Oryctolagus cuniculus: one gene and its partners. The protein of the gene in region 4 interacts with the protein of the main gene of each other region in a pairwise test. Links are inferred from orthologs where the notes say so. Each region holds a gene or a part of one and is shown on either strand. Other genes may lie near its edges.

Region 1 (4,156 bases), about 26 Mb from region 4:
AGGGGAACTGTGGTCTCAGCAGATTGTGTGGGCAGAGCAAGTGGTGGAATCTAAGGACACCTTAGGAATGAGCTCCCTGCTTAGAAGGGACACAACTTAGAACTGACACAATTTCTCTCAAGATTCCAGACACTGCTAGTCTAGGAGTTTGCTTTTCAGATGCAAACACCTCTAATGGTTAGAGGTCTGTAACATTTTATCTATTCCACTCACATTGTAAACACTTAGGTGGTAAATATGTAAGTGTATATGATAAAACCCTCTGTACTTTTTGTTTTTCTAAAACAAAACTCCAAAATACCCATATCAGAATTAGCACATCAGGTTCCTGCCAAAGCCTTGGAAGACTGCTCAAAGAAAACAGAGCGAAAAACTCTGTTTAGAAAGGGGAATGAACACTCCAGAAAGTCAACCAGTGGGGCTGACACAAATCCATCACCAGCACCTGTGAGAAGGATAGTGCACCACAGGATGCCAGCTAACTATTCTCAAGAATTTCACCTATCTCAAGTCTGCCAAACATCAGTCCTGGCCCACAAGCAGCTAACAAGCTAAACTTTACTGATCCAGCAGGTATCTATGACTCCCAAGCACAGCTCCTCCACCCTCTCCCCAAAAGTAGGGGAGCCCCTTGGTTCTCCAGGTTAAGTTTCCACTGCCACATGGGGTTGTTTCACTTGCAACTGGAAGAACTGAGCAAGTTGGCTTGACAGAAGCACGGACCAGCAAAAGCGCTATTATCTGGGAATTCCAAAAGCCCTTACCAGGAGTTCAGCGCGTGCCTGCTCCCCCTGCGCCCGGCGCCTCTTTTTTAAGTCTTTCACCCTTTTTAGATGGTCCAGCTGGTTCTGGATTTGTTCCTGAAAAAAAAAAAAAAAAAAAAAGTTGGGCAGGCCATAGTATAACCATGGCTGTTTTGCTTCCCCACAGACAGAAACTACAATTCTGATGCCAGGTGCCTGGTGCGAGCCTGTGTTCAGACCACACTACCATCCACAGAAGACTCAAAGCACAGGGGCCACCACCTCTCTTCTATGGCAATGTGTGCATTTCTTAAATGAATCCTCTACCCAGTTTAGCATTAGGGTGACTGGACTAGGAGATTTAAAGTCAAGTTGTAGACCTTCCACAGAGGTCCACTGAGAAAATGAAGCAACTTCTCTAATTCTCCTCATGTGTGACGGGTAAATACCACTTTCCCAGCCTATTCCAGTTACAAGGAGAGCAGGTGAAATGATGCAGTTAAAAGCTCCATGTTAGGTGACTATGCAGAAATGCATTCACTTTTAAACACGGACAAAACTGTGGGTATAATCCTGTAGCCCTCAAACACATAGCAAACAGACAACATCAAGGACGCCTGGAATGTCTCCTTAAAACTCTTTTGCACGTGATACTTTGTTTCCGTGTTATTGTTTTGCTGCCGCAGTCGGTTCAACAGTTTGCAAAAGGCTTTGCACTTCTTATCCCCTTAATCATAATACCTGTTATCTCCCGTGTCTCAGGATGGCGAAATGCCTTACTCAAGCAGTGGAGAAATGTGTTCCTTTCCATGAGCTTCTAGAACAAGACGGTTTACAAGAAGTGCTTACAGACTAAGTGACGGGCATCTGCCGGATGACTCGGACACCGCGGTCACCGTCCGAGCGGGTTTCCTCTATAATTTGGGAGCAGAGTGTCTCAGGAGCCTATTGATGTGTACACAGCTTTATGCACATCTTGTAGGGTGTCGGGTTTGCGGGTGGGGGTGGGGGAAGGGCTCCAGGGAACGTCTTTATGTCCATAGCGTCCGAGATCTGGGAAACACAGGGATAGGAGTGGGGGTGGGGTGGGGCGACTTCTGGCTTCCCCAGCAGCTACAGGTTTTCCTCCAAATCCGAGTGCGGAGGCTCGGGAGCGGACAGAGAGGAAATGACGGCTGTGAACCACACGTCCGGCTCAGCCATTTTCTAGGCAAGGAAAAAAAGGGGAAGCCCCCGTGGCTCTCCCCTCCCTTTGTCCGCCTCGCTGCGCGCGCGCCGGGGGGGGCCCTCACCTTGAAGCCCTCCACCGCCTCCTCGAGCGGCAGCACGCTGTGGCCGCGGTGCTCGCGGGAGCGGTCGCACACCACACAGATGGGCATCTGGTCCTCCTCGCAGTACAGCTTCAGCGGCTCGCGGTGCTTCTCGCACACGCCCATCTCGCCGCCGGGCCCGGACGGCCTCTCGGTGCGCAGCTGCTTCACCAGCTGGGTCACGTTGGCCAGGTGCCGGTTGGGCCGCATGTGCCGCTGCGGAAAAGTCTCTCGGCACTGCGGGCACGACACGTTCGTCTCGGCCGAGCCCCAGCAGCGGGCGAGGCACGCGCAACAGATGTTGTGGCCACAGTCGAGCATCATGGGCTCGACGAAGTACTGCAGGCACACGGGGCAGGTGGTCTCCTGCTGCAGGCACTCGGCCACGCTCCCGGAGGCCATGGCGCGGGCTGGCGGGGGCGCACGGGCATGGGCCCCCGGCGCCGAGCTCTGCGCGGAGCCCGACTCTCCGGCGCTCTCTCCGGGTCGCTGCTCGAGCCGGGCGGGCGGAGGGCGGTGCCCCTCGGGCCCGGATTCCCTGGGAGGCTCCGGCGGCCGGGCAGCTCGCTGCCCTGTTGTACCCTTTGAACGAGGCCCGGAAGGCTGCCTCCCGACGGAGCCCCGCGGCTACGCGGGTAGGGGGGCCAGGCGCGCAGCGCCTCGGGCCGGATTCACAGGGGCAGGCGCGCCAGGCGCGCAGGACAACGTGGCTGCGTCCAAGCGGATCCCGCAGGCCGCGGAGACCCCGCCCCGGCGCGACCGGAAGAGGCGGGGCGGCGTGGGGCGGGGCTTGCGGTTCTTGGCCTCGGGGCCTAGCTGTTTCCTGCCGCGGAGGGCGGCTTGGCTGGGCGCGCGCCCCAGGGCGGGACGGGTCGGGACGGGACCTCCGAACCGGGCGCTGAGGACCCCTGGTCTTTTGTGAGGTTTTCTTTGGGCGCTCAGGCCTTAGCCCTTGCCAGAGAGGGCTGGCTTTGTGTAGGACTGGGAAGCGCAGGCCCTGAGGCTAGCGGATGGGGCTGCAAACTGAGCTGCATCCGGTACGTGACGCACTTTGTTAAGCAGAGCCATCATTTGCTGCCGCTCGCCGTTTTGTTTAGGGGGAAAAATGGGTGTATTTATCATTCTGAAACATTTCCGCAGGGAGAAAAACCGCGAGCCTAGTTCTGCTACTCCCTATCTCTGCTCATGCAAGGTGTTTTACCATTCTGAGCCTCAGAATCGGTATACCTCAGCAAGAAGGTAGACTTAATCGTTTAATTTTTGAGCCGTAAGGATGTTTATCCGTGAAAACCGCAAAATACCCACGGCGTAGGGTTGTTGTATTGAGCGGCACCTGAAAACCTCTTGTTCCTTTCTGAAGTTCAGAGTGCGAATCCCACAGTGCCCCGGGGTCTTGGAATCCCGGGCTGTCTGTTCTCTTATCACACAGTGGATTTCCCGTCATCCCTACTTGGTATTTGCTGGTTTCCTTGGGATTTTTCTCAGTGTGGTTTTGGGTCTCAGCAGTAGGGCCTCTGCTTCCGGAACTTCTGTTTGGAGGGATCCGAGAGGCGAAGTGGACATGCCAACCCCAAGCCCACGTCCTCTGAACCACACTCTGAGTACCCAGTCTGTGAAATTCCAGACCCCAGTAACCCTAGCCCACTTACAAAAAACGTAGAAATATTGGGCGGGGCCATACTGTTCGGAGAGTCCATTAGACCTAAGGTATTTATGCATATTTGTGCAGCTTCTCTCCTCTCTTATCTCTCTTCTCATCTGGCTGAAAAAATAATAGGAATGCCGCAAAGGTACAGTGCTTAAAGTAAGAATAAGCTGACAGATCGATGGGACAGAATGGAAATTGAGAAATAGACTAAAATGTTGGTAAGAATTTGGTATCATGTAGAGGAAAAATCAGATTGGCTCTAAAAGTTCAATAAATGATCCTGGAACAACCGGGAAGGTGTTGGGGGAGGGGAAGACTACTTTTTATTTTTACAGATTTATTTATTTATTTGAAAGCCAGAGTTCTTTCTCAAAGAGACAGGGACAGAGACAGATATTTCATCTGCTGCTTCGCTCTCCAAACAGGCGCAACAGCAAGGGCTGGGCCAGGCTGAA
Region 2 (3,500 bases), on a different chromosome or scaffold from region 4:
CCCGGGAGGGTCTGAAAGGTGCCAGGAGGCCCATGTCACCCAGGGTGCTGGAGGCAGACACTTATACCCCGGTTTGCCTCTAATAACAGTCAGAGGTGTCTGCACCAGGGACAGGGCCCCGTGGCCCCCACTCCCCTGGGCAAACACCAGCTCACCAGCTTTTCCAGCTCAAGAATCTTCTTCTCCTGCTGGTGGATCTGCTGATTCTTCATCTCTAACACCTGCTTCAGGCTCTGCATGTCCTCTTCCAAGTGCTGATACGGGGCCAGGGCGATCTACAGGGGCAGGCGGAGCAACGAGCTGCATGCCGGGTCCTGGCAAAGCCCAGTACTAACCCACACCGTGCGTCTGCAGGTCTGGGGAGGGCCCAGTGCCGCCGACGACCAATAAGGGGTCACGCCCAGCGGTCATTGTCGGCTCTTCCATGGGAAGCGGACGATCCTGGCTAACGAATGAGCCGTTTCCTCCCAGTCCCGGGAACAAATTGCCAGTGCACCCACCATGGGATGGGCGTCACTCAGCTACTAAGATCCTACCCATCTGCAGGAGAACAGGATGCATTTGCTTAGTCACTCTGCCGCCACACTTCACGTCCAGGCAGAAGCTCACATTTTGAATCTGGGTAAATCTGGCCATCACTAGCAAGCTTCCCAATGGGCAGCTGCAACACCAAGGAAGAGGGGGGGGAGGGAGGGAGGGAGGGAGGGAGAGAGAGGGAGAGGGGGAGAGAGGGGGAGAGGGGGAGCCGCCAGCGTGGGAGACTTGGCTTGAGTTCTCAGCTCTCAGCTTTGGCCACTGCGGGCATTTGGGGAATGAACTAGTTGGCCAGGAGCTCTGCCTGTTTCTCTCCTTCTTACATAAATAAAAAATCAAGAAGATGCAAGAGTAACACCCACCCAGACGCTTGATTCACCAGGGAGCGAGTGATCTTGCAGGACCCCCCCGCCCCCTCATGCCAGTAGAAAGACCCTGCCCCATGCATAGGACATGAGCAAGGTAGTTAAGAAAGCAGAAAAGTCATTTTAGAGAAAGACTTGGTGCGGCAGGGTTGCCAGATGTAGCAAATACAAGCACGGGACCTCTCATTATCTGTGAATTTCAGATAAGAAACTTTAGTATAAGTATCGCCTGGCATATACTTATCCTCGAAAACTCACTTATCTGTATTTCAAGTTGACCTGGGGGTCATGTGTTTTACCCAGCAACCTGGCACTAGGGGAAGGACTTTTTGCCAGCTTTAATGGAAGAAACCCCTCCACCCACAAATCACGCTGAAGCCAGTGCCACTGCTGCCCTGAGCAGCTTTAAGGGAAGCTGGGAGGGAGTGGGATGGAGGCAGCTGAGGCCATGGTGAACCTTCCAGACTCTGCTTAGGCCAGGAGCTCAGGGGTCTGGGGTAGCGGGAGAAGCCACAGCTTTGGTGTGTCCTGGGCACAAGTGGTGACAGCAGTTGTGTGGGGAGGGCGTGGCCAGCTGTCTAGGGCTGAGGAGGCCCTGGCCACAGTGGGGCTGGGAGGCCGGGGGAACCTGGAATACCTCCAGCTGCTGCTCCGTGTTTTTCCTCAGAGCCTCCTCGAAGCGCCGGGCACGGTCTCGCAGGGACTGGCTCTGGAAGGTCAGCGTGTCCACCTGGTCCTGCAAGGAATGCCATGAGGTGCCCGATGGGGGCCTCTGTGCACACCCAGCCCCGCCTGGGCAGCTGGGGTGTCAGGGCCAGCCAGCTCGCCCTGGGGCTCTTCAGAGAGAGGGTCTCCCATGGGTCATGGTGGGGGGTCCCCATCTGCGTGGTGGGGAGAGATGCCCCCAACACACCCTAGCTGGCCCCTCCTTGGTGCGGTGTCCAGAGCAGACATAGAAGTGCTGATGGGGGAATTCTTAGGCCCAGCTGAGCGATGCAGACAATCAGGACGGAGCTGGCCAGCCCAGGAGCATCAGCCCTGACTGCAGAACCGCAGCTACTCAGGGGCAAGGAAAACCAGCTCTCAGCAAGGAATCTTCTCCCCGTCCTGCTCCTTTCTCTGCCTGGGGATCCCTCCCCAGTTAGGAGCCAGTGATCAAATCCTGCCTCCTTCGTGTCCCAGGAAGCTGGGATTGACCCCGGGGTCCCCTCCCCTCCCTGGGCTCAGGCCCCCTGCTGGCTCTTTCCCAGCCCAGCACTGCGCGATGCTCTGCTGGCCCCAAGCTGCATCCGGGCTCCTCTTTCCAAGGAACAGGAAAACCTGACCCCAGTGACCCTCACTAGACCCCCCAGTGCCCTTGGGTGCCATGCACACTCTTCTGTTTAGCCTCTGAGGTGGTCTCCCCTCTCCAGTCTTGGTTCCCACACCCCAGCACTTCCGGTTGGCTCTGCCTCCCTCTGCCAGCTTCCTCTAGCTTCAGGGCTGGTGACAAATCCCCAATAGGAGCCAAGCCACGGTCCCATCCTCCCTGTCAGACCCTCTGCCTGCTGGTGCCAGCAACAGGGCAGCCCCGTACATGAGGTTAAAGGGCTGAAGGTGCACCTGCCCAGACCCCGACCCTGAGCCCCGTCCCCGGCCCAGGGCAGACAGAGCTGTGCTGAGCCCTCCCCTCAACCGCAGCCAGGACTCGCATCACCTGGCAGGCAAAGGATGCTCCACAGTGACTTCCCCTGACGCCCAGGGAAAGCGTCACTCCCACATGCTTCATGTACGCCACAAGCCCCCGGCTTCCCCACCCACCACCACCATCTCCGTCACACACAGGGGCTGGGGGACCCCAGGAACCACGCGCCTCATCCCACGGAAGAGCAGGAGAGGGCGCTGTGACTTCTGGGACTCCACATGGCAGCACTGGCGTTATGAAGCCTGGCTGCACCGCTTTCTGGCAGAGAACTCTGCAAACCCCCCAGGGCCGGCTCCTCCTCCCCCGCTCCTCCTCCACCTTCTAACTACTTCCATTTCAGTTTTAAGAAATAAAAGTCCCCACAGTGCCATTAAACACAACAGCTTTGGCGCATGGAAATCACGGCCCCAGTGAGGCTGCAGCCACGTTCCGAACGTGGCCATCCACTCAACCGTGTCCTGCGTGGCTCCTACGCCCAACCTCATCAGTGCTGTCTAGACGAGGAAGACTTTGAGTCTCTTCCCCAGCATTAAAAAGCAGACAAGGAAATCTCAGCAGGCCTCCACCGCCCGCGATGGATCCATGGCACCAAGCTGAGTCTTCTCGCTTCGTTCACTGCTATCCAAACAGAGTCGCTCAGAGCAGTCACAGGGCACAGGACAGTGCTGTGGCCATCAGAACAGGCTCGTTTTCTACTTGTCAGACTAAGAGGCACAGAGATCCAGCTGGCAGCCTCGGCCAGTGGGGGCCACTCAGCAGTCCATGAGTGGCACGATGATGGTGAGGATGAGGATGAGGATGGTGATAGTACAAACAACCAGAAAAACCCCAGAGGCTCTATTAATTAGCAACAGCCATCACCTATATGCCTTTCATTCATGATTCCCCTTAATCTGCTCACCCTTTGAGCTATCCTC
Region 3 (3,970 bases), on a different chromosome or scaffold from region 4:
TTTTTTTTTGTGCTATGAATAAGTTCTTTTTAATAGAAAACTTTTATTTAATAAATATAAATTTCAAAAGTACAACTTTTATATGATAGTGATTCTTCCCACCACACCCAGCTTCCCACCCGCAAACCATCCCATTTCCTTCTCCCTCTCCCACCCCATTCTTCATGAAGATTCATTTTTAATTTTTAATTATCTTTATATACCGAAGATCAACTCTATCCTAAGTAAAGATTTCAACAGTTTGCACCCACACAGACACACAAAGTGTAAAGTACTGTTTGAAGACTAGTTTTACTGTTAATTCGCATAGTACAACACATTAAAGATAGAGGTCCTACATGGGGAGTAAGTGCACAGTGACTCCTGTTGTTAACAATTGACACTCTTATTTATGACGTCAGTAGTCACCCAAGGCTCTTGTCATCAGGAGCTGCCAAGGCTATGGAAGCCTCTTAAGTTCGCCAACTCTGATCTTATTTAGACAAGGCCATAATCAAAGTGGAAGTTCTCTCCTCCCTTCAGGGAAAGGTACCTCCTTCTTTGACGGCCCATTCTTTCCGCTGGGATCTCACTCACAGAGATCTTTTACTTAGGTCATTTTTTGCCACAGTGTCTTGGCTTTCCATGCCTGAGATACTCTCATAGGCTTTTTAGCCAGATATGAACACCTTTAGGGCTGATAAGAGTAAGTTATTAACACAACACTTTCTTCCCAGCGTTGAACTTGGGGAGGCAAGAGTTCCTAATGCCCTCAGTCACGTGCGGCTTAGTGGTGAAGATTTGTTCAGAGAAAGGCACTGTGATCTGGACCTTGGGTGAACACCACTGAGTGACTGACACAAACCAGGATGGTCATGATGATACACTCTTGGGGAGACCACCACTGTTGCTTGTGGACTGCGATCATCAGCACTGGGGAGGGTGTGTCAGGGAGCTAAGATCATTTCCTCTTTGGCCTGAAAACTTCCATCAGCCGTCCAGATGCCACAGAAGTCACCTGCAGCTATACCAGCGGCAGACATACCGCGTCCATCTGGAAGGTGCCAGGGAAGTCTGCGCTGAGCAGCTCCGGGGGCTGGAGACTCCTGGCTCTTCCATGATGAACTTCTCCCTTCTACACCATGGGGCTGGCCTTCCTGCCCCTTGGAGGAAAGGCTTTGAACGCTCAGAAAGCAACACCTCTAAGACCCACGTAGCTGTCACCTTGGGACCACTCTCTCAAGTGCCATCCCTCCTTGCCCCTCAATTAGAAAGATGGCGAGGGCAATGCATTTAACGTGGAATAGGGCCCCAGATGGAAACCCCTGGATGTGGAAAAAATGTCCGACTCTTGAGTTTTTTCACATTTCAGGGAACCACACCCGCAGTTGGAGCCGGAAGACCCCCCCCCCACACTGTTATTACTGGGTCATTTCACTAGATTTGGGCAGCATGCCTCCAATCTCCCTGAATTTCAGTTTCCTAACCTGGAAAGCCCTGGTGATAAAACCCGTCCTCTCCCAGGACTGCGGTGAGTAGGAAATGATGTAACTCAGAGAGAAGCGCTTTATTCAAATGCAAAGCACATCTGGTGCGGGGATTCAAAATGCCTGCCTGGCTCCTCGGCCCCTCCCACTTGGCGGAGACGCCGTCCCCACAGACTGACTGGTTCTCCTCCAAACTTTATTCAGCCGACCGACCGGGCCTCGCCCTGTGGGGAAGCGTGGTTTAATTTCATCCTTCTGGGGGTGCGGGCTGAGTCTTCGGTCACCGGGCCCGTGGTCTGCTGCCTCTCTCAGCGCCGACCTCCCTCAGCACACTGCTAAAGGAGGGGCTGAAACGGGGGAAGGCCGTGGAGACGAGCATGGCAGGGCCAGCCTCATCCACACGAATCGCCATGCGCCCCGGAGAGCCGCGCCGCCGGCGCCGCGGTCCGCACCTGGTCTCCGCGGGGCGCCGCACAGATCGAGGCACCTCCTCCGCCCGCCGCTCTGGCGCACTGCGCCAACAGGGGCGAGGGGAGGGGGCACAGACACAGTGCCCGGATGCGGGAGCAGGCTGAAGGCTTAGGGAGTGGCCCTCACCCCGCTTCTCCCCCACCTTTTTTTTTTTTTTTTTTTGGCGGGGGAGATGGAAGATACCAAATCTTGGCGCAGAGGCGGCATGGCGGCCCTCAGGCAATACAGCGACTCTGCAACCTCTCTCTGCAGATTCCGCTGGGCTGGCACGTGCAGGCTGCAGTCTTGCCTACGCTCACACAAACCGTCCACCTGCGTCTCGCTACGCTACCCCGTCTTCCACTTTGCAACGCCCCTGCGCTTTACTCCCGGCCTTGTTGCGCCTCCGCACCCTCCACCACGTGCAACCTGCGAGAACCTTCTCGCGGGTCTCTGCTTCCTGCCGCCCCCCTCGGCGTCGGTGCACGGCAGTACTAGCGTCGGCGAGCCTGGGGGGTCCCCCGGTGCGGTCGGCGCCGCCTGCGCCACACCTTTCCCACTCCTACTGCCACCCTCTCCGCCACGCCTTCCCTGTGACAATCCCGGTGCCTAAATAAGCTGGTCGCCCCTTCCCCCTCCACCAGCTCCCACCCGGGTAAAACGGAGCGGGGCGGGGGGGAGAGTTCTGCGGCCTCGCCCCCGACCCACTCCGCAATGTGGCGGGGGAGCGGGGCGCCGGGGCTGCGCCCATGGGTCCTCTCCGCGCGTGCTCGGCCTGCTACTTACGGTGGCGCCGAGAGCGGCGAGCGCGCCCTGCGCTCCGCATCCATTAGCCGGGGGTCTGGCCGCTTCACTTCCGGAGCGCGGGGCTCCGCGAGGCGCCGCCCTCCCCCCCCCCCCCCGCCCGGGTCCCGCGCGCGCCCCGCCCCGCCCCACGTTGCCGGGAACCGGCCGCGTCTCGGCTCCGGCTGCCGCAGCGGCGGCCCTCCCAGACTCAACTTTGCCGCTAGCTTGCGCGGGGGGCGTGGGCAGGGAGGGGAGAGAGCGGGGTCAGGGGGCGGGGCCGGGAGGGTGGGTCGCCCGCTCGCCAGCCCGCCTTCCTTTCTGTGCACCTTGCGGTGGGCAGAGAGCGGCAGCGCGGTCTGTGCACGCGGAGAGGGAGCCTGAAGGACCAGCGCACGCACGCACGGACGGGACCCTCCCCAGCCCCGCGCCATGGCCGAGAGGAAGCAGTCCGGGAAGGCGGCAGAGGACGAAGAGGTCCCTGCCTTTTTTAAAAATCTGGGCTCGGGCAGCCCCAAGCCGCGGCAGAAATTCTGTGGCATGTTCTGCCCGGTGGAAGGGTCCTCGGAGAACAAGACCATCGACTTCGATTCGCTGTCGGTGGGCCGGGGCTCGGGGCAGGTGGTGGCCCAGCAGCGGGACGTCGCCCACTTGGGCCCGGACCCTCAGACGCCGTACTCGCGGCAGGGCCGGCGCGCCGGCGGGGAGCCATCTGTTGAATCCGGCAGGAAGGTGGAGATACGGCGGGCCTCGGGCAAGGAAGCCCTACAGAACATCTACGACCAGGTGGGTGTGTGCGGGGAGGTAAGTGGGTGCGGGCGCTCGGGCGCCAGCTCGCCCCTCGCCCCTGCAGCCTGGGCGCCTGCCTTCGTGCCCTGCCGCGACCGCGGCCTCTCCGCCTCCGCACGCGCACCCCACCCTGCCCGCCCCTTCTGCGCGCAGGGCGCGGCGGTGGGCGGCCGTGCGCCCACAAAGGCTGCTCGCGCTTCCCCGGGCTCGGGGGTTGGGAAGTGGATGGGCGTCAGGGACTGGCCGATCGGGGTCTGGGAGGAGAGGGGGTCGCCCTGGGAGAGGGGTGGGCCGCGGTTCCATTCTTCTTAAGTCCTCCCGGGCCGGCGGCTTCGGGTTGCAGTTGTGGCTGGGAGCCCCACCCTTTTTTTGATGCAGCTCGGAGCGTGCGGTGGAGGTTGGCGTGGAGGCCCGCGGGCTCCCGGGGGGTCGGGAGGGGCGAGGGCTCGGACCGCCGCTCGGCGCCGCACCTGCTCCGGCGC
Region 4 (2,900 bases):
GGTAGCAAGGGCCCATCTTCTGCTGCCTTCCCAGGTACATTGGCTGGGAGCTGGACTGGAAGTGGAGCAGACAGGACTGAAACTGGTATTCCAGTGTGGGATGCTGGTGTCACAATACCAGCCCTTGGCCTAAAGCTTTGATTGGCTTAAAACCTAGGAAGGGAATCTATCTGGTGCTGATCCCACCTCATCTGCAGACCCATCTCCCCTCTGTAGTTGTTCCATCCATGGCCCAGAAACCACTACTTTCTGAACAACCCCATGGCTGGCCTTCTACCCAACTAACTAAACAGTGTCATTCGTTCAAGGGGAAGGCAGAGCATGTGCCCCTGGGGGCTACTGGAGGCACGCAGCCTGGAGAAGCACTTGGGAGGTTAAGGTCGGCTGCTGTGTAAACTGAGTAAAGATCCCACTCCCGAGACAACAACAGGGAAGAGGAAATTCCCACCTCCAGCCACAGAGAAGGAGAAAGACCTTCATCAACTGCAGCAGAACGCAGGTTCAATAAATACCCGTCTTTGTTTTTCCCAGTGACTTGATAAAACAGGCGGAGAAGGTGTGCTTAAACCAAGCCCCAGCTGGGGAGTGGGAATGCTGGGCTGTGGATCACATCAGCTCACCAAGGGAGCAGGGACGAAGGCCTAGAAGAGAGGAGGGAGCCAAACAGACTCTCAGGCCACCCTGCCCGGCCTGGGAGCCACAGATGCCCTGTGACCTTGTCACTGCCCTGGTCTTCAGGCATAAAAAGCTCAGTGTCATCTTCAGTCACCCAGGGGACCTGGTGTCCTCCCATGCCCACTGGACCAGGACAGGTGACCGTCTTCCTCACTCCATGGTGATGGGGACATCTTCTACGTCACGAGGGACTGCACTCTGAAGCTCCCGCCTGATTTCGGGGGAGAGCTGTGGGTGGGGCTGCAGCCGGAGCAGTTCCATGAGGGCTTCTTTCTGTTCTGTGGCCAAATCTGCCTTGTAGCGCTGGACCAATGTCAGCAGGCACTGGTGCCAGAGCACGGGCAGCTCCCGCTTCTCTGTCCGGAACCCCAGGAAGTGGAAGACCAGGGCATCCAGCACGCGGTAGGGCAGTGCGTACTTCTTATCCAGCAGCAGTCGTAGGAAGATGCTGTTGGCACCACTGTATTCCATCTCGGCGATTTTCAGCATGGCCGCGCTGGGGAAGGGGTGGCGTGGTAGGGTTAATCCATGGGGAAACGCTGGAGGAGGGAGCCTGGTTCTCCCCTCTGCTGGCCCTTAACAATGGTGTTCCCAAGGGGGCCATCTCAGGCCTCCTCACCTACCCAACTTCATCCTTTTTTGACTGCAGTTACCACCTCTACCTCTGGCTTAGACACTTGTCCCAGGATCCAACTAGAATGTCCAAACATGCTGACATCTGCACCCCCACCTCACTTCCTCCCTGTGTGCCCTACTCATTCCACTATTTACTGGGCACCTGCCATATGCCAGGTGCTGGGATCCTCTTCTAGTGGAACTTACATTCTAGTGAAGCAATGACACACCCACTGCTTCAACCAGCCACAAATCCACAGCTGTTCTACTCTTTCCTGTCGCTACCCTCTCCCCAAGTCCTGGCCACCCCACTCTGTGCACTGCGCAGTCCTCCTCGAGCCCCACCAACACTACCTGGAGTGCAGCACAGGGATAGAGCACTTGGTGATGATGCTGCCCACGATGATGGCTTCCCGGAGAGTACAAGTGCCTGACTCGCACAGGGGGATCAGGATCCCTGGAGACAGGCAGAGGGTAGTCACTCCCAGCCCAGGGTGAGAGGAAGGTACACCAGGAAACCCCCGCACCAGCCCCAGGGGCCAGCACTAGAGACACCCACTTCCCGCAACAGGTCAGCTTTCACCTGCAGGCGCTCCAGCCCCTCGCTCCTTCCTTGCCTCTGGGTGCCCACCTTTGAACCAGGCTCCAGGCTTGAACAAGGCCTTCTTGAGCGCCATGTACAAATGGAAGTTGAGTCGTTTGTATTCAGCGATGTCATCTCGTATGCGGGGGAGCAGGACGAGGTTGTAGAAGCGCTGGGCCATGCGTTCTTTCAGGTTAGAAGCAAAAATCCTAGTGGGGTGAGGGGAAGTCCCCAAGTCACATGATAGGTCTGGACTTACCCCTTTAAATATCACTGGGTGGAGGCTGCTATTATGGCACAGTGGATTAAGCCACTGCCAGCAATATCTATATCTCATTTGAGGGCCAATTCAAGTCCCAGCTGCTCCCTTTCCGATCCAGCTCCCTGCTGTTGTGCCTGGGAAAACAATGGAAGATGGCTCAAGTGCTTGGGCCCCTTTCATCTATGTGGGGAAACCTGGATGAGTTCCAGGCTCCTTGCTCCAGCCTGGCCCAACCCTGATCATTGAGGCCATCCAGAGAGTGAGCCAACAGATACAACATCAAGCTCTCTCTCTAACTCTGCCTTTCCAATAAAAAGATATTTAAAAATAAACATCATTTGGGGGTCAGGTACTTGGCATAGCAGTTAAGATGCCACATGGGGGCTGGCATTGTGGTACAGGAGGCTAAGACTCTGCTTGGGGCTCCAGCATCCAACATGGACGCCGGGTCATATCCCAGCTGCTCCACTTCCGATCCAGCTCTCTGCTGTGGCCTGGGAAAGCAGTGGAGGATGGCCCAAGTGCTTGTACCCCTGCACCCATGTGGGAGACCTGGAAGAAGCTCCTGGCTCCAAACCAGCTCAGCTACAGTCATTGTAGCTATATGGGGAGTAGATGGAGGACCTCTCTGTAACTCTGTCTCTCAAAAAGAAGAAGAAAAAAAAAAGAAAAGAAAAAAGAAAAAAGCCACCTGGTTGCCTATATTCCACATGGGAGTATCTGGATTCCAGTCCTGGTTCTGCTCCTGGGAAGCAACAGGTGATA
Region 5 (3,500 bases), on a different chromosome or scaffold from region 4:
ATGGCTGGCTGACATAAAATAGGAGTGTGAACCCTGTGCATAAATATGACTTCTCGGCACTTTCACACTCAGGAAACTAGGCCAGGTGGGGGGTGGGGCAGGAGGCCCCCTCCTGGCCGCCTCTCTTCCTCTCTGCCGCCTGTCTCTGGGTTTCTTTCCATGTCCTGCTCTCTCACGTTTCTCCTTTTTCTTTCCTCCTCCTCGGGCCCTTGCCTGCTGTTTGTCCGCCCCTCTGCCCACTCCACATGCCTCCCCTGGGCCCCGGCCCTCCGCAGGGAGGCACCGACTTGGAGAAGCTGCGGGACCGGCTGACGGTGGAGAATGAGCGGCTGAGGCAGGAGCTGCGGCGCTGTGAGGCCGAGCTGCAGGGGCTGCGGGCACAGCCGGCCGTGGCGGCGGCGGCAGCGCCCTGCCCGGGCTGCGAACACAGCCAGGTAAGCCGGCCCCACACCCCGGCCCCGGTCGGTCCCGGAGGGTCCAGCTCCTCCTCAATGCGAATGCAGCCCCTCACGGCGGCCCGCGCCCCCGCAGGAGAGCGCCCAGCTCCGGGACAAGCTGTCCCAGCTGCAGCTGGAAGTGGCGGAGAACAAAGGCGTGCTGTCCGAGCTGAACCTGGAGGTGCAGCAGAAGACGGACCGGCTGGCCGAGGTGGAGCTGCGCCTCAAGGACTGCCTGGCCGAGAAGGCGCAGGAGGAGGAGCGGCTCAGCCGGCGCCTGCGCGACAGCCACGAGACCATCGCCAGCCTGCGGGCCCAGTCCCCGCCTGTCAAGGTGAGCCTCACCTGCGCCTGGGCCCAGGGCAGGGCAGCCTCGAGAGAGGGGCGCGTCGTGGGGATAAAACAGGTGTGGGTATTTAATGGACTCGGTCCCGTGCTGCACTGGGCCTTGCCCCTTTCTGCAGCTGGCCAGGGCCGGAGAAAGTGTCCACACCCAGTGCTCGGGTGCCCGCGTGTGCCCTCTGGGTTCTGCCCTTCTCCTCTGTTCCGTGCCCAGGTGGGAGTCACAGCTGGGCTCGTAGCAGGCTCTCATTAAAATGAGAAGATTCCAGTGCGTTCTGGAAAGCCAGGACCCCAGGCTGCTCTCGCTTTTTTCCCCCCGGGGCTCTTGATGGGGCCCCTCGAGGCTCCCCTCCCGTGGTCACCTCCCAGGGCCCCACACGCCTGCCTTCGCCTTGCAGTATGTCATCAAGACGGTGGAGGTGGAGTCGCCCAAGACCAGGCAGGCGCTCAGCGAGTCCCAGGCCCGGAACCAGCACCTGCAGGAGCAGGTGGCCATGCAGCGGCAGGTGCTGAAGGAGATGGAGCAGCAGCTGCAGAGCTCGCACCAGCTGACCACGCAGCTCCGTGCACAGGTGGGTGGGGGCTGGGACGGCGCAGTGGCTAAGCATGCCGGGACGGGCCAGTGCCTTCTCTCCCTCCTGACCCTGTGACCAAGGGCAAGATTTGTCTCTGTTTCCTCATCTATAATGCGCTCTGCTCCCAGCGCCCACGGTGGGCCCTCTGGGACGCGACCAGCAGAGGTTCAGGCCCGGTGTGCTCCATCAACACCACGGGGCTCGGGTTCTCCTGACTCCCCCAGGGCCTGGCCCAGGCGGGGCTGGGGCCCAAGGCAGGGGGTGAGGGGTGGAGAGGTGGGACGGTGGTGGCAGCTACATGGAGTTCGCAGCCGTGGGCCCGGGAGAGAGAAGCCGGTTGACCCTGCTACCGCGTGTGCTTGTGCAGGAGGGGGGTGTGGTGTTGGTGAGGGGCGGGGCTCCCCTCCCTGTACCTTCCCCCACCACATTCCACGGCCCTGAGCTTCCTCATGGCCCGGCCGCCAGATTGCCATGTACGAGGCGGAGCTGGAGCGGGCGCACGGACAGATGCTGGAGGAGATGCAGTCCCTGGAGGAGGACAAGAACCGGGCCATCGAAGAGGCCTTTGCCAGAGCCCAGGTGGAAATGAAGGCCGTGCACGAGAACCTGGCAGGTGAGGCGGTCGCTGGAGCCCTGCCCGCCCCTGACCTCGCCGCGGCCCCTCCCACCCCGCCCGAGCCCTGCCCACCGCCCCCACTCCGCCGTGGCCCCTTCTACCCCGCCCGAGCCCTGCCCACCGCCCCCGCTCCGCCTTGGCCCTCCCACCCCGGCCGAGCCCTGCCCACCGCCCCGCACCTCGCCGCGGCCCCTCCCACCGCGCCTGAGTCCTGCCCGCCCCCAACCCCGCCGCGGCCCCTTCCACCCCGCCCGAGCCCTGCCCACCGCCCCCCACCTCGCCGCGGCCCTTCCCACCCCGCCCGAGCCCTGCCCACCGCCCCCCACCCCGCCGCGGCCCCTTCTACCCCGCCCGAGCCCTGCCCAACCGCCCCCGACCTCGCCGCGGCCCCTCCCACCCCGCCCGAGCCCTGCCCACTGCCCCCTACCTCGCGGCGGCCCCTCCCACCCCGCCCGAGCCCTGCCCACCGCCCCCACTCCGCCGCGGCCCTCCCTCCCCGCCAGCCTCACTCCCCTCGCGTCCCGCAGGCGTCCGGACTAACCTCCTGACGCTGCAGCCGGCGCTGCGGACCCTCACCAACGACTACAACGGGCTCAAGCGGCAGGTGCGCGGCTTCCCCCTGCTGCTGCAGGAGGCCCTCCGGAGTGTCAAGGCTGAAGTGAGTGCGGGGGCTGGGTCAGGGGCTGGGAGAGGCACTGGGGCCTTGGGGCAGGCGCAGCATCCACTCGGGACCGGTTCCCGAATTCACAGACACTTCCGCAGCTCCCACACGCTGGCCATGGCCAGCTATCTGACTGCAGGCTGTTCTGTTGTACACGTGTGACCGTGACCATAGACCTACTGCATGTTCTCACGTGTGCTAGGTTTCACTTTGAAAACTGGACTTAGAGGGTGCGAATAGCCCAGGTCTCTTAAATGCCTCCCACGTGCAAGCCCTTGGCTCCCTGAATTCGCCCGCCAGGGCTCTGCAGAGTAGACCGCGGGTTCTTCTGTCAGCAGTGCTGAGCGGTGCGCAGCTCGGGGAAAGTCAAAGCCTGCGGCAGGTGCCGAGGAGCCCCGCAGCCGCCCGCGTTGAGCCCGTTGGTGTCTGCGTCTCCCTTCATAATAACAAAGGAGGACACACGGGGTTGGGGCTTCCGCATCTCTTTCCCCCTCTGAAGTGTACCTGGGACCTGAACTCCACCACCTCGTAGTCTCGCGTTCGGTGGTGTCAGCCCCACGCTGCAGGTGAGGGGGCTGAGGCCGTTGTCTCAGGCGCCCCAGCTGTTCCGCTGGAGCTGGGATTTGTGCCTAGCTGAACGCTGTTGCCGTCGGGTGCTGGTGCTGCACCCTGCACAGGGCAGGGTAACTGGGAAGCAGTGGCTCAGTTTCTTCACCTGTGAAGTGGGAATGTAGTAGCCCCGCCACCCGAGGGGTCACTGGGAAAAGGTGACATAGGACAGCGCATGTCAGTCAGACCCTCAGCCCACAGCAGGATGCAGGGTGCACCCCTGGTGGGTGGGCGGTGGGGCGAGCCAGGCCAGGGAGCCG
Region 6 (4,074 bases), on a different chromosome or scaffold from region 4:
TCAAATCTCTGCTGGCCTCCACGTGTGGCGCCCAGGCCTGGGTCCCTCTGCCGAAGGATGCTATGACCACTATTCGACAGGCTGCATTGTCTGTGCCTCCCAGCCTTTTTGCTTTTATGTATTTTAGGTACTAGTAAGAGGCTGCTTCACTACAAACCCATGAGAAGTGATGGCAAATCTCCCTGCCATCTCCTCCTAGAGATCTCGCCTGATAGGTGTTCAGGGAGTTCCTTAGTCCAAGGGAGAAACCCAGGTGGCAGGCAAGGTGTGGCTTCTCACACAGGACTTGAGCAGGCACAGCATTTGGTCCGGAACCCTGATCTGGGTAAAGCTACTGGCTGTGAGACTCTCGGGCCAATGATGGCTGGTTTGGATACTTAGAAGGATAGGAGGTGGGAGTGGCCTCAATGGGGAGATGGCAGGAGAGACTTGGGGGTGCTGGGCACACATAAAGAGGGCACAGGACAGACACACAGTAGGGGGGTCAAAGGCACAGCATGGGATGGCCTGGCTTGGCCCATTCTTTCCCCCCAAACATGCTGCCCTAAGCAACCTAAGAAGCCAAGCATTTTCTTGATTAAGTTAAAAATCACCCATGTTTGGGGCTGGCTTTGTGGTGTAGTGGGTTAAGCCACTGCCTGCAACGCTGGCATCCCACATGGGCACCAGTTCAATTCCCAGCTGCTCTACTTCTGATCCAGCTCCTTCCTAATGTACCTAAGCAAGCAGAGGAAGATGGCCCAAGTTCTTGGGTCCCAGCACCCATGGGGGCGACCCAGATGAAGCTTCTGGCTCCCAGCTTTGGCCTGGCCCAAATCCAACTGTTGCAGCCATTTGAGGAATGAACCAGAAGATGGAAGATCTATCTCTCCCTCTGCCTTTCAAACAAATACAACGAATCTTAAAAAACAAAAACAAAAACAAAAAACCTGTGTTCAATACATTCTCTCCAAACCTGTGATGCAGATGAAGAACACTTGTTCATGGTCTCCATGTCACTGACACGCATGCTAAGCCATCCAGCTCAAGTCTACTCCGGGTTTTTACATCATTTGCAAGGGCAGATTTCTGGGTGTTTTCCCCCTTATGTTCCCTGAGATCTGTTCCAATAGCCTACTAGAACCTTCCCCAACAGCATAGGTCAAGAAAGCATCTCTATAAGGGCCAGTGCTGTGGCATAGTGGGTAAAGCTGCTGCCTGCAGTGCCAGCATCCCCTATGGGCACTGGTTCTAGTCCCGGCTGCTCCACTTCCGATCCAGCTCTGCTATGGCCTGGGAAAGCAGTAGAAGATGGCCCAAGTCCTTGGACCCCTGCATCAGTGTGGGAGATCCAGAAGAAGCTCCTGGCTCCTGGCTTCTGGCTTCTAGCTTTGGATCAGCCCAGCTCTAGGCATTGTGGCCATTTGGGGAGTGAACCAGCAGATGGAAGACCTCTCTCTCTCTCTCTCTCTCTGCCTCTCTGTAACTCTGCCTTTGAAATAAACAAATAAATCTTAAAAAAAAAAAAAAAAAAAAAAGGAGAAAAGAAAGCCCCTTTATAGACCAGCCTGGCACGTGCTCCTTGTATTTTTGAAGCCTGCGACTAAAATGGCTTCTGTGAGTTTGCTTCACTATGCTTTGCTCCACCACCACGGTAAATAAAACCTGGCTGTACGCTGGGGTGTACGCTGGGGAACACAACCTCTCCGCCTTCTCTCTGTACGAGCCAGGGGAGGCCTCCGTGCTGAGCAGTTCGGAGGGCCACAGGCATGAACTGACGCTGGGGATGGGACGGTTCCTAGTCTCCTACCTGCCATGTCTCATTTCGCTGGGCTTCGCCTTCAGAACAAACCACTCTGTGTGAGGACGGTGCTTTCTCATGGGGGTTACTCTTTCCTTCTCTCACTGACCCTTTCCTTCTCCCGGTTTTCCACACTGTTCTCAAAGTCCGAAGCCCCAGACTGAAATGCAGAGTCGAGCGCAGGCTCTCACGGAGCCCCCGGGGGTAGGAGCCGGCCTCCCGGCTGCTGCCCCAGTACAGGCTGTACCCGCCAGCCTGCTGGGCGGCTGCTGACTCATGCTTACCTTGGGATCCACAGGAAGGAGCCCGGCTCCTCCCCTCTTCAGCCACAACAGCTACTGCCCGCCTCCCGGAGCCCCCCGCCCACCCCCTTCCGGGTCTCCACGCCAAGCCCACCTGGAAGACGTCGTTGGCGCACTTGCGGCACAGGTTGTGTTGGCAGGGCAGGATCACCACCGGCTTGGAGAACATCTCCAGGCAGATGGGGCAGATGAGCTGCTTCTCGAGGTTGTCCATGCTGTGCGCATCCCCTAGCAGAGGCTTGAAACCCACCGTGAAGTTCATCCCTTCAGCGATCGTGCCTGCCCTGGCCGCGGCCCTGGTCCTGGCCTTCTCCCGCTGCCTCGGGACCCTTCCTCGCGCCCCTTAAGCAGTCTGTAGACGCTCTGTTCCCTTCGGCTGCTCGCTCTGGAAATAGCTCTGCTACAGCTCCTGTCCCTTCCTCTCACAACTTGCCTCGTCCGTCCGTAGGGCGCGGGTTCCAGACGCTTCTCGGTCTCTCTGCTCTTTGCCCTGCACCCTGCCCGGCCTCTCTCTCCCCTTCTCTAAATTCTCTTTTGTCCCCCAAACGACTCTCTCCTGTCCACTCTGTGGGCAGCACTGTCTGTCCCTTACTCCCCAGAGAGGAGATTAATTTTACTGTGGGGGTGGGGAGAGAGGGGCATCTGCATGACATTCCAGCTCCCGATTTAGCTCGTGTAAGGCGAGCCCCAGCTGTCACCCAGTGAGTGACCCTGACTCACACAGGGATGGGCGGCTCCCTCTAGCAAGGGCAGGGTGAGCGTCACTCCTGACGGTGAAAGGTGGGCCAGCAGTCATCCAGAGGCTCCTGGGAGCCCCTGGCCCCGTGCTCTGGCTTGGGGTCCAGAACAGTGACACAGACTAAAGCGGCCTGTATGAGGGGCAGCATGGTTCATGGCTCAGGGTGGGAGGAGAGATCTGGCCAGACCTTCGGAGAGGGTCAATGACAGTCTCCTGCTCCCCAAGACCAAGTGGTTCAGAACAGGGCACCGGACACTAGGGAGACAGCCTCTCGTCCAACACGTCTGGCCCAGTTTTGTGCTTGCCCAGCCATTTCTTCACTCTAGGGAAAGAAGCTCAGGAGGCTGCAAGTGGCTGCTGCAGTCCTGAGAGAGTGGGATTCTGGCCCGCCCACCCACTGCTGGGGCCACTCCACGGAATTTCAGTTTGTTAGGAAACTGGGAGATGCTGGGCAGGCGGAAAGGACCTGAGAGCCAGAGACCTATTTTGAGCACCAGGCAGTCAGTCTCCAGGGAAACTTCAGAGCACCGAGAAAGCCACAGCCGCAGAGCATGGGCAGCGTCTGCCCGGCCCGACACGTGTCCCAGACTCCTGCCCTGCGAACCAGGCTCGCCGCACGTGGCTTTCTCGCTTTTTCTCCTACGGCCTTCTTCCTCTGTCGCTGGCACCATCTGTCTTCTTTGGGCCCAACACACGCACTGGGATTGTCAAAAGTTCTTTTATTTACTAACATTCCTTCACCTTTCTCCCAGACAAGGGTGAAGTTAGAGGAGTTCCTAGGCTCTGACCCTGAGTGGGCGGAGAACGGGTGGTGTGGAGAGGCAGGACGAAGAAGGAAGAGCGGGGAAAGAGTCTGCAAGGCACAGCCTTCGCCTCGTCACGTTTCCCGTCCTGTTTTAAGGACAAAATGCAGGGCGACCGGCCTGCACAAGGCGAGTCCAGAGGGTGGGGGCGAGCAGATGCTGAAGCAAGAACTTTGGCCAACCCCGGGGGCCAGGCTGGCGGGGGCTGTGCCGGCAGCTGGGGTCCAGGGACAGTCCACAGGTGGGATAACTGCCCCAAGCCGCATAAGCACTCACTTCTCCTGGGCTGACTCGAGGTGGCAGGGCTGAGCTGGCCACCAGAGGAGGAAGACCAGCCCCAGAAAGGTGTCTTGGCTTAGGAAGGAGGCTGATGGTAGGAGTTCTTGGTCCACAGTGGCAACAAAGGAAGGTTAACTGGTGCAGCAGCTCTGGGGACAGGGCCCACCCTGC
Region 7 (4,003 bases), on a different chromosome or scaffold from region 4:
CTTGTGGCTCCCCACGTCACAGCAAATACTACTTGAACTTTGGTAATTGTGCTCCTCCAAGGCCATGCGCTTTCTGTGTTTCTGCACCATTGCATCCCTCATTCTCTCCGGAATACTGTGACTGCATTTCTCCCCCAGCAAACTCCACTCATCCCTTGCATCAACTCCTCTGGGTGGTCTTCCCTGACCACTCCTGAGAACAACTAACCAATGTCTCCTCAGAATTCCCCTCCTTAAATCTATCACAGCTTCCATCAAACTGTATGCGTTTATATATTTAATCGTCCCTTTGCCAATCTGTTACATGTGCCTTGGTACCTTGCAATGTGTTTTTGTCTTTGTAACCCTTAGCACTGAGCGCATTGATTGGAACATAGTGTGAGTAAAATAAATATTGGCTAAATGATTACATGCAGACTGTTCTAATGTCTGTGTGTTTTTTTTTTTTAACTTTCTCCTAATTTCTTATCTTAGTTCAGGAATACGAAGTTTTCTCGCTACCATCCTCACTTCTGAAAATTTTTCCTCTTTTGAATTTCTTTAATATTTAAGGCTCGGGATCTTGCACCAGCCTAGCTGCTTTTCGGTAGTGCCTCGAGACGACTCGTTAGCCTCGCATTTTATCAGACTCCGCTCAAGGCGACAAGCTCCAGTCTCAAATATCCTATAGCGCAGAGACGCTGACGAGAGTCCGTGCGTGCGCGCCGACTGGCGCTCAGCGCCTGCGCGCCGGGCACTTTTTGCTTTTCGACTCTCCCTTTTTTTTTTTTTTTCCTTGGGAGCGTGCGCACCAAGACAGACAAAGGTGAGGAAAGTGACCAAGCAGTCATGCAGGCGCATGCCCACCCCGAACTTGTCCGAGCGCGGCGGCTCTCCCGGGGCGCAGAGGGTGTGGTCTGAGCGCGAGCGGCCGAGGCCCAATCCGATTGCGCGAGCTCGGCTCCTCCCTCCCCGCGATTGGCTAGCGCCGAGTGTTGTGGGGCGGGGAAAGGAAGAGATGGGGGCTGTGGAGGGGCGGGTGGGGAAGAAAGAGGGCTAATCTCGTTCTGCGCAAGCGCAAGGAAGCGACCACGAGAGGGCGTGAGAGAGCGAAAGGGAATGTGGAAGCCCTGATGCGCTGGCGAGCGCGAGCTGGGTCGCCGGCCTTGACGCCTGCGCCGTGGGCCTCGGGGTCCCGCGCGCGGCGGGCGGGTGCCCGGTGCGCCTGCGCAGTAGGCGGCGGCGGCAGGGGGAGGTGGAGGCCGTGGAGCGGCAGCGGCAGCAGCGGGTCCCGGGACTGGGGCAGCAGCGGGGGCGGCGGCGGGCGGAAGCTGAGGTGACGAAGGCAGCGGCGGCGGCGGCCGTTTCCCTCACGGTGGCGGAGACCAAGGCGGCGGCGGCGGACGGGGAGCGGCCCGGCCCCGGCCCCCTGCTCGTTGGCTGTGGCAGGGCCGCCGTGGGGCCGGCCCGGCTCCCGCCCCCCGCGGCTCCCCCTCCGGCTCCTCCTCCGGGGAGACGCCGGGGGCCTGGCCCGGCCCGCACTCAGACCGCTGCTGCAGCCGCCGCCGGGGGCGTCGGAGGCGGCGGCGGCGCCATGGGCGGCCTGGCCTCTGGGGGGGATGTGGAGCCGGGACTGCCGGTCGAGGTGCGCGGCTCCAACGGGGCCTTCTACAAGGTGAGGCGGTGCGCCGGCCGGGGACCCCGTCTTTAGCTCCCGGAGCAGGCAGAGCGGGGCGGGCCAGGGTTCTGGAGCTGAGTCCTGACCCGTAGAACCTTCGACCCATGCTCCCACCGCAGCCCTCCCCGGGAGACTGCCGGGAGTTCGCTCTCTTCCTCCTATTTTTGACTCCGCTCCTATACCTGCTTTTACCTTCAGCTCAGAATAGAATCGGGGCATTGCTGTGCCTGGATCGGCGCTCCCGGACCCCCAGGAGAAGTCTCTTTCCTCAGCTTAATTGACTTTTCCTGTTTGCTATTGGAAGCCGTACCTTAGGCCCTTAACTCGCTGTGCCACAACGCCCGCCCCATACCTTAGCCTTTAATCACCTCTTCCCCGCGGTCCAAGCACATGGACAATTCTTTTCTTCTCCCACATGACCCCCTTGGGAAGGCCCTCTGTCCCATATTAGCTCCTTTATCCTCAGAGAGGCCTCTGCCTACTGGCTCTGGAACGCTCACCCCACTTTCGCCTTACATTGCCGTTCCCAACCCAAGGAGAAACGGTCAACATCCGTTTATGACTTTTGGCATCTCTGGCCTCAGGTTGTATCAGTCATGTTGCCTTCCAGCCAGTGGCCTCTGCTCATAAGTCTGGCACCCCAGCCCCCCTTCAGTCCCGGGCCAGCCCGGTGGTCCACCGTTCTACCCAGGGGAAGGTTTCTGTTTGTTATCGTGCCTTGACCTCAGATCCATTCAGGTCATTCATACAGCTTCTGCATGTTGATGGTAAGCTTCATATGCATAGTGTCTAAAAGGGAGTCTCCCCATGAGCCCTTCCATTTCTCTTTTTAAGGATTTCCACTTCTAGAAGACTTTTGGCCATCTCTCCCAGTTCTGGAATCCTGCAGCCTGTTTTTGGAAGGAAAAGGGGACTATCCTTCAAAGACCCTTGCTTCTTTCAGCTCCCTCCTTGCCCAGGATTGGTTTCCTTAGGATTCTTTTTACTACTGCTTTATTTGTTTAGAACCCATTTTCTTGAACTTTTTGTCCCCATTTAGATGATGCCGTACAGAGAGAGACCTTTTTAGCCACTCAAAGAATTTTTCTTTGTGTGATTGTTGCTAATCCTAACCTCTTTGGGACTTTGTGTCTGGAATTGTCCCAGAGATTTTCCTGATTCCTGTCTCATTTCATCCTGAGGAGTCGCAAGAGAGAGATCTTCCCAGGGCCAGCTCTCCTTCAGTTCCCTTCTGGTCTTTCCCCCCTACAAAGACCTCTCAATCTTCCCATGCCCTTGGAAGTGGCTTGAGCTGATGACTGTGAAGTCGTCTCTTACTACAGCTGGAAAGGGTCTTGCCCTTGGTTGGAGTGGATGGTAACTGCCTGCACTTCAGTTGATAAGCTCATTGTAGTCATTTTTTACTCTCTGTAAGTACCTATTCACTCTTCTTTGCTTCCTTTCTTCTCCAGATTGCTGTATATCTAGTGTCTGTTCATAACTCATCCTCTCAGTTCAAGTCTTTGGCCTTTTATCCTAATATTTCTATAATCCCCAGGAACCACCTTATTACACTTCTAGCTGAAGGAAGCTCCCAGCTGATTGCTTTTGTCATTTTTTGCATACTTTCCTAACTCTTAGGACTTTTTCTTCATTTCTGTTTTCTTTGGCAAAACGTCTCTAATTCCTTTCTGGTTCTGATAGAGCACATTTGCCTCTTAACATCCTTTCCTCCAGTCTTGCATTACCTTTGTTGAAAACCCTGCCTCATAAGATGTTAGCCTTGTTTATCCCAGTGTCTTGTCTTTCATCTGAGTCCTGCCCACCCCCGAGTTCTGGAGTCCAAGAGAAATGATTCTTAAATTGAGTTTGAGATCAAGATAATGATGTTTGCTTTTTTTCTAGGAAGCATGACAGCCAGGCACAGCTGGGAAAGAATGGTACCCACTTCACAGTAAATGTGTGAAACAGCTGGGAAGGGCCATCTTTCCTGTAATCCACATCTAAGTGTACAACAGGAAGTCTCTGACTTTCCCTTTTTGCTCTTGGGCTGTGGCCATGAGTGACTTGAAGAATTGGGGCACAGAATACTTTGAATCAGAGTAGAGTTTGGAGTTGAACTGAAAGTGAGGTAATGTGGATTTTGTGTTCTGGCAACATTAGCATTTTTTGTCCCATACCTAAGGTAAAAAAACAACAAAACAAATCTCTGAATTGAGACTAATCTTTCTTCAGCTCAGTGTCATATAGATATTTATCCATGCTGACCTTGCTGCTGATTTAATTTAATATTCATGACTCAGCAAACTTTAGTGTAGGTCAAGGAGCATTCCTACTGCTTCTGGAACTATAAGTTTGGGAAGCTGC

The links.
Region 1: the proteins of BYSL (region 4) and TRIM27 interact in binary tests that used the Homo sapiens proteins (3 or more experiments, as listed by UniProt). The two-hybrid records come from large-scale screens. The link is inferred for Oryctolagus cuniculus from reciprocal best matches to the Homo sapiens genes BYSL and TRIM27.
Region 2: the proteins of BYSL (region 4) and MTUS2 interact in binary tests that used the Homo sapiens proteins (3 or more experiments, as listed by UniProt). The two-hybrid records come from large-scale screens. The link is inferred for Oryctolagus cuniculus from reciprocal best matches to the Homo sapiens genes BYSL and MTUS2.
Region 3: the proteins of BYSL (region 4) and PNMA2 interact in binary tests that used the Homo sapiens proteins (3 or more experiments, as listed by UniProt). The two-hybrid records come from large-scale screens. The link is inferred for Oryctolagus cuniculus from reciprocal best matches to the Homo sapiens genes BYSL and PNMA2.
Region 5: the proteins of BYSL (region 4) and KIFC3 interact in binary tests that used the Homo sapiens proteins (3 or more experiments, as listed by UniProt). The link is inferred for Oryctolagus cuniculus from reciprocal best matches to the Homo sapiens genes BYSL and KIFC3.
Region 6: the proteins of BYSL (region 4) and TRIM54 interact in binary tests that used the Homo sapiens proteins (3 or more experiments, as listed by UniProt). The two-hybrid records come from large-scale screens. The link is inferred for Oryctolagus cuniculus from reciprocal best matches to the Homo sapiens genes BYSL and TRIM54.
Region 7: the proteins of BYSL (region 4) and FXR2 interact in binary tests that used the Homo sapiens proteins (3 or more experiments, as listed by UniProt). The two-hybrid records come from large-scale screens. The link is inferred for Oryctolagus cuniculus from reciprocal best matches to the Homo sapiens genes BYSL and FXR2.

Annotation. Positions count from the first base shown.
Region 1 is NC_091436.1:154,135,823-154,139,978, forward strand, and holds the start of TRIM27 (zinc finger protein RFP), read right to left. Parts: upstream 2,801-4,156; 5' UTR 2,456-2,800; coding exon 2,036-2,455; intron 861-2,035; coding exon 765-860; intron 1-764. UniProt on the Homo sapiens protein: E3 ubiquitin-protein ligase that mediates ubiquitination of various substrates and thereby plays a role in diffent processes including proliferation, innate immunity, apoptosis, immune response or autophagy.
Region 2 is NC_091440.1:85,074,682-85,078,181, forward strand, and holds part of MTUS2 (microtubule-associated tumor suppressor candidate 2), read right to left. Parts: intron 1,636-3,500; coding exon 1,537-1,635; intron 276-1,536; coding exon 156-275; intron 1-155. UniProt on the Homo sapiens protein: Binds microtubules. Together with MAPRE1 may target the microtubule depolymerase KIF2C to the plus-end of microtubules. May regulate the dynamics of microtubules at their growing distal tip.
Region 3 is NC_091433.1:47,729,334-47,733,303, reverse strand, and holds the start of PNMA2 (paraneoplastic antigen Ma2), read right to left. Parts: upstream 2,801-3,970; 5' UTR 2,703-2,800; intron 1-2,702. Other genes in the region: DPYSL2 (dihydropyrimidinase-related protein 2), read left to right, coding at 3,132-3,485.
Region 4 is NC_091436.1:127,974,015-127,976,914, forward strand, and holds the end of BYSL (bystin), read right to left. Parts: intron 2,083-2,900; coding exon 1,922-2,082; intron 1,748-1,921; coding exon 1,645-1,747; intron 1,172-1,644; coding exon 826-1,171; 3' UTR 501-825; downstream 1-500. UniProt on the Homo sapiens protein: Required for processing of 20S pre-rRNA precursor and biogenesis of 40S ribosomal subunits. May be required for trophinin-dependent regulation of cell adhesion during implantation of human embryos.
Region 5 is NC_091449.1:41,234,508-41,238,007, reverse strand, and holds part of KIFC3 (kinesin-like protein KIFC3), read left to right. Parts: intron 1-275; coding exon 276-434; intron 435-531; coding exon 532-771; intron 772-1,177; coding exon 1,178-1,351; intron 1,352-1,819; coding exon 1,820-1,967; intron 1,968-2,497; coding exon 2,498-2,628; intron 2,629-3,500. UniProt on the Homo sapiens protein: Minus-end microtubule-dependent motor protein. Involved in apically targeted transport. Required for zonula adherens maintenance.
Region 6 is NC_091433.1:175,699,524-175,703,597, forward strand, and holds the start of TRIM54 (tripartite motif-containing protein 54), read right to left. Parts: upstream 2,801-4,074; 5' UTR 2,345-2,800; coding exon 2,177-2,344; intron 1-2,176. UniProt on the Homo sapiens protein: May bind and stabilize microtubules during myotubes formation.
Region 7 is NC_091448.1:52,173,967-52,177,969, reverse strand, and holds the start of FXR2 (RNA-binding protein FXR2), read left to right. Parts: upstream 1-1,203; 5' UTR 1,204-1,573; coding exon 1,574-1,654; intron 1,655-4,003. UniProt on the Homo sapiens protein: mRNA-binding protein that acts as a regulator of mRNAs translation and/or stability, and which is required for adult hippocampal neurogenesis. Specifically binds to AU-rich elements (AREs) in the 3'-UTR of target mRNAs.